Linked DNA regions of Mus musculus: region 1 is reported to be linked to region 2. Evidence: microRNA targets listed by miRTarBase, many of them from high-throughput screens and not tested one by one. Region 2 holds a microRNA gene; the other region holds the end of a gene's coding sequence.
What was found. The annotated mature microRNA mmu-miR-375-3p reads UUUGUUCGUUCGGCUCGCGUGA and lies in region 2 at 1,711-1,732, shown strand. An mRNA with a match to its seed (bases 2 to 7 or 8) in the 3' UTR can be bound and repressed. Matches are read on the target gene's strand: a 7mer-m8 pairs with bases 2 to 8, a 7mer-A1 pairs with bases 2 to 7 and ends in A, and an 8mer does both.

Region 1: miRTarBase lists Ahr as a target of mmu-miR-375-3p. Seed matches in the 3' UTR shown: 8mer at 1,314-1,321.

Annotation. Positions count from the first base shown.
Region 1 is chr12:35,498,068-35,501,137 of GRCm38, forward strand. Ahr (aryl-hydrocarbon receptor) reads right to left here. Exons shown (of 11, transcript NM_013464.4): 11 at 1-2,633. The coding sequence ends at 2,622. Among named protein-coding and RNA genes, the nearest start is that of Ahr, 35 kb to the right of the region's middle.
Region 2 is chr1:74,899,264-74,902,392 of GRCm38, reverse strand. It overlaps Mir375 (microRNA 375), which reads left to right and starts at 1,672; the gene lies at 1,672-1,735. Cfap65 (cilia and flagella associated protein 65) reads left to right here. Exons shown (of 33, transcript NM_001039495.1): 32 at 1-54; 33 at 150-313. The coding sequence ends at 258.

The DNA of each region.
Region 1 (3,070 bases), not on the chromosome of region 2:
TGCATGGCATATGTAAGCAAGTAACAGTTTAAAGGACAGCAAGGAGCTATGTAGACCTAAGATCTATTGATACTCAAACTAGCTTGTGCATAGTAACAATTGAAAAGTTGATACACTGGCATATTGGTTAAGTGTTCAGGTGCTGTAAGAAACACCTAGAAAAGAAGAACTTCAATCAGACATACACAAGAGTCTTAGAATTTCATCTAGAAGTTAATCCCTCAGTCTAGTGGTGCTCTAAGTGGTCTTTCCATTTGGCACTTGGCAATACAGACAAACAAATAGGCAGTTTAATGTGATTTTATTATTCTTAGATGTTTTAGCTATTTTTATATAGATAAGAACACACAATATTGTTTTTAAGACTTTCAGTTTGATAAGTGTGTAATTAAATGCCACCATACTCTCAGTGTCCAAAGTTGTCTTCTTTTTTTTAACTGAATATTTGGTAACATGCAGAAGAGACTGACAAAATGGTTTCTATGACAACTTTTAATGAAAAGTTTACATAGAAAAGTGGGATACTAATTCAGACCACCAGTCTAAATCCTTGGTGACACCTCATGCTGGAAAAAAATTGTGAAATGTTTTAGACAGTTGTTTTTCAATGCTTAATCCTAGAGATTCAGAATTTTGACTGAAAATGCATAGAAGAGATCTTTTTCCCAAAGGCATGTTTACATACATTAATTTTCTAAAAGAAAAAAAGAAGAGTCAACATTTCAGTGGATCTCAACCTTTCTAATGCTGTGACCCTTGAATACAGTTGCTCAGGACCCCAACCATAAAATTATTTTCATTGCTACTTTAAAACTGTAATTTCCCTACTGTTATAAATTGTGATGCAAATATCTGTGTTTTCCAATGGTCTTAGGGGACCCCTGTGAAAGGGTCAGTCTATCTCCCACGGGAGCCACAGAGCACAGGTTGAGAACCACTTCTGGATTTGAATACATCTCAGTTTGGGATCTCATCAGCTTTTTATATAACATATGAAAAACAGATCCAGGACCACATCCTTCATATATCATATCTAAGCAAGAACAGAGACAATGGCAGACACCAGCATTTTTTCTTTAAGCCGTTTGAGAACAGTGCATTTGGCAGAGTGACACATTTGCCATATTGGCAGCAAAGGGTGTATCACATAAACAACTTAAGGTATGGAGGTGAACAAATTGTATTTATCTTTATCTTAATGCCAACGTAAAAGCTTCAATTTACTACTTGATTTCTTTACAAGATACACTGAAAAAATGCATATGAGGTAAGAACTATTCTTAAATGAAAACTGCGAATATTTTACAGATTATTTTGTTCGTTATGTTTATACAATGCACCATTCATTTCAGTCATTAAAACACCTTGCACCTGACATGGCATCTTCCATCTTAACACTCCTCAAATATGAGAAAAATGAATAGCTTCCACTAGTATAAGAAGTGGAATTTATAAAGTCAATATCACAAACAGGATTACAGACAGTTTTTCAAAGATAATTTAGACAGAGTGAAATGAGTGCTCTGCTTAATATAGCTAACAGGCTTGACACACGCCACCTCCCCTCACTGCAGCGTAGTGGACATAGGCACCTTTAGCACTTTCTACGGTGGCCTTCTGATCTCATCGTGGAGGTTTCTGGGAAACCTTCAGCAGCAGCGTTATCTCACGTCTCAGAAAACACGGTTAAAATACAAGTGCTACTCTCTAATAGTATGTAATAATTAAATAATTTGGGCAACATGTTATTTTTCAAATTTTTCAACATAAGGCACAGAGGAACATCTAACGGCCAGAAGCAGGTATATTACACAATAAATAGTGGACTTTGAGTTATCAATTACTCTTTATCTGAAGGAAAGGATGAGTAGTGCACACACACAGCGGGGTCATAGAAAGGTTGGGATTCGGGAAACTTTCTTTGTGCAGAAAGAATATTAATTCAAAAAAGATAAAAAATATTTCATATAAAATACATACCCTATTGTGTTACAGGTAGATAGAAAAAAAGAAAAAAATCAGAAAACAACAACAACAACAACAAAAAGTGAGGCACTTATATTAACAGTGCAGAAAGAAAGCATTGAGATTTTCTTTTGAGAAAAGCACCAAACCATTTACTTTAACTTCTGGGACAAAAACAGAGGTTAAAAAATATAGGAAATCGGTTAGTCCTGTAACTCCGTATTTGGTATACTAACAAGAATCCAGAAGTTCAAAGCTCCAAATACCTCCCTGTTTTTCCTGCTGAAGTTACTGAGCAGGGAACCCGAGAATTTTTCACAGTAAACACTGTGCACTCTGAGGTGCCTGAACTCCTCCCATGTGCTCCGTCCGAGCTCTCCCATCGTATAGGGAGCATCTCAGGTACGGGTTTTAAACTCCTTCTCTAAACACAAGAATCGAAATCTGTTTTGGAGAAAGTGTACTGATGTCCAACCCTCACAGTTCTGGTATCCTGTTCCTGAATGAATTTCATCCTGGCATGGGAGCTACAGGAATCCACCGGGTGTGATATCGGGAAGAGGCCGGGCTTCCGCCAGGTGATGGAGATGGCCAGTGGTCTGAGCAGCGTGGCCAATGCTGCTCAAGTCGGACGAATAGGTTTCATTGAAAACACCTCAACTCTGCACCTGAGAACAAACACAGCACAGCAGCTTGTTAGGATCTGAGGAAGACCTTAAAAACGACTTTTAGTCTGTTAGACCTATGGGTTGTTTCACTTTACAGTCCTGTACTGATGATGCTCATGGCTAAGTCTTTCGTCATTCAAATCACACAGAGGAAACGCTCACACACTGACTTCTTTTGGAAGATCAGGTTTTCTCATTAGTCCTACAAGATAATTTAAAGATGGTACAGCGAACGCTACAACTATCTCACTTCGTCTGCCTTGGGGCCTGATGGGAAATTATGTGACATGGGGTGTCAAAGGGTTATTCAGTCCTGCCACAACCAATCAAAAACCTGGAGGCAGTGAACTGATTCTATCCGAACTTCTACACAGCATTTCAGACACCAGCACTTTTGCCCAGATCTGGATTTTAAATGTTTCTTGCTATTCTTGCAA
Region 2 (3,129 bases):
AGTGCTCACTTCGAGGCCCCGCATCATTGCCCTACCACCAGTCAGCATGCACAGGTCAGGGGGTTGGGCTTAGCCTCATTGGTTGGAGGAAGGCAAGCCAGGAGAGGCATTCAGATGTGATTGAAAGCCTCACCCTTTCTCTTTTGCAGGACAGACAACCTCTTGCAGATGTCACAAGGGGACGTGCTCTGCTCTGGGATGCAGCATCCTGACTGTTTGCTGGTGTCAGCATCCAGCCCCTCTAACATGACTACCTAAATTGCCCCTGGTCCCTTTTTTTTCTTACTGTTCTGCAAGTAAACCATTAAGTTCCACACGCCAATCTACCTGGCTTTTATTTCCTCCTGCCTGGAGAAAGAAGTATGTTGAGATATGTGGAAGGTGAGAGTTTTTGATGTGGACCACAGAGACCCATCTATTTAGAAATGGGAGGGTACATTTCCCGTTGACAGGCAAGAGTTCTTCTTACTTGCAGTGAGGTGTTGTTCTTAGTTTGGCCAGTGGAGGGCGCTTCAGGAGAGACATAGCTGATCTTTGCAACAGTGTAACTTGGTTAACAAAACAAAAAACAACAACAAAAAAAAACCCAAAAAACAAAAACAAAAACAAAACAAAACAAAAAAGAGGATTCCTAGGCCTGGTGGGCTAAATAGGTAGCCATGGAGATAGAATCTTCCCACATGTGTTCACCAGCACTTCCAGGGCCAACCTAGTTCCCTGAACTATGCTAAGAGGTTAGAATGAAGCTGGGCTGTGGTGGCGCAAGCAAGGAAGCCTTTAATCTCAGCACTTGGGAGGCAGAGGCAAGCGTATCTCTGTGAGTCCAGCCTGGTCTACAGATCTAGTTGTAGGACATAATAGCTACAAAAGGAAACCCTGTCTCAAAACGAACAAACAAGTTTAAAAAAAAAATGAGGTACATCGCAGAGGCCAGATTTATGATCTGGGTACTTTTCGAAGACAAGGTTTGGTGGGCTACGGATGTTACTAAATAACCTCCATTGCAAACCACTCCTGAGACCCAGAGATGTTCTGCCTTCGCTAGGAGGTCCGCCTCTGTTTTCTCCCTAAGCCCTCTGGGCAGCCTCTGTCTTCTGCTCCTCCCTGAGCTCAGAGCCAGGTGGGTGGAAAAGTGACATCTGGTGTTGTTCCAGAGGCGCTCCTGGTCCCGGTACCCTCCCCTGCACCCCTGTCCCTTCCCTCCCTCTCTCACCCCCCCTACCCGCTGCCAAGGCCTCTGAGCGAGGGGGGGGGGGGTGTGCTCCGCCTCCATGAGTCAATATTTGCCCCGAGCAAACGGGCGCCCGGACAGGTGTGTGTGTGTGTGTGTGTGTGTGTGTGTGTGTGTGTGTGTGTGTGCAGGGGCGGGGACTGAACTGGCAGTATAAGAGTGCTCTGAGTCCTGGCTCGGGCACAAGCTTCGGGGCGTGGGCTGGGGACGAAGCCAAGCCTGGCTGGTTTGGGCGGAGGGGCAGAAACGCTGTGGCGGGTGGCCCGGGAGGGAGGGGCCGGCCAGGTGTGCACCTGTGGCGTCCGCCACTGCCGCCGACGTGTCAGCCACCGCGGTGCTCAGGTGAGAGCGGCGGCTAGCGGGAGCGCTGTGCACTCGAGGAAGCTCATCCACCAGACACCGCCGACGACTGCCGCCCGGCCCCGGGTCTTCCGCTCCGGCCCCGCGACGAGCCCCTCGCACAAACCGGACCTGAGCGTTTTGTTCGTTCGGCTCGCGTGAGGCAGGGGCGGCTTCTCAGCATCAGCCTTGGGGCCGGCCAGATCGCCATGCAAACACCAGCCGCCGTCGCCACCGCCACCATATGGGTCGCAGAGACTGAGCACGGTCCCCCCAGGGGGGAGACAACCGGTTCCCATCAGGCCCCGCCTGCCCTGCCCTCAGACTCTGAGCTGCCAGGCATAGCTCGCTGCAGGGTAATGCGGGCCGAGCAGGCTCCAGCAGGATGGCCGCAATGGGCTGAGGTCTGGAACAGATCCCCTCCCGAAGGGGGAAACTGCGATTCTAGTCCTGCTCTGTCCCAGAGAATTCTGTAGCCTTGGGGGAGTGTTATCAAAAAGTCTTGGTTCCCCCATTTGCAAAGTCAGCCGCCTTTCTCACAATAGTCAGGGCCTCCACTAACCTCTTTATTCTGCTCTCTGGACCCCTAGCCACTCTGCCGAGTCCCTTTAACCTTTTAACCTCACAGTGCCAGGGTTGTGCAGTGTGGGAAAAATCTGGGAGAGGTGAACTGAGGTCTTCTGGGCAGACTCAAATCCACTCCACCTCTCAGACTCTTTCCACTGCCACCTGAAATTTTCACTTTCACCTCCTCTCGGGTCCGTGTTCCAATCCAACCATATCTGAGATCAGCAGACAGCAAAAAGGACAAACAGGGTCTTCAGGCACAGGAAAGAACTCACCACCTTCCTCAAAACCCCCTAATCTTGTATTCTCTGCAGCCCAGTCAGACGGGCTAGACTGGGTCTAGGTAGCACACAGCTCAGCCAGAGTTCGTTTGGCCATGGATCACTAGCCACAACCTAGATCTGGAATGGGCCACCCCCATCTCAATTACTTTAAATGCTGTGACCTGGCTTGCAGGAAGGGGATTTTCTTACACTCTGGCAGAGGAGCTCAAACCAAGAGCTCCATACAAGACCCAGCAGGGAGGTTAGGCCAGGGTTGAGTGAGGCTGTCCTGTGATTCCAGGTGCCTTCCATGCCCCCCTCATGACAATGTATGGTGACAAAGGCTCTCATACAGCAGCAAGGAGCCCCTGGCTGGTTTCCCATTAGGATAAAGAAGAAATGAAGGAGAGCAGTAACCCACACACCAAGACAGAGGCAATGCCAGGGAGACGGTGTGATAAATAAACCAAATTTTCCTAGAACTGCTGTCTTGTCCCATCGCCCACATGTGCTCTACTACCCAACCCCCTAGTTACCAGGAGGTCCCACTGGATCTGCTGAGCGCCTGAGGAATGTTTGCAAAGTGGTTCTGATGAGGAAAGGGTGGGTTCTTGATGGAACTAGTCCCAAGGCTAGACTAGGTCCAGGTGTCCTCAGATGGAGATGTGTAGCCCCCATCCTGGCCTCCCCGACCAGGTTCTCCCTGTGGAACTGTCTTTTCCCCTTTGC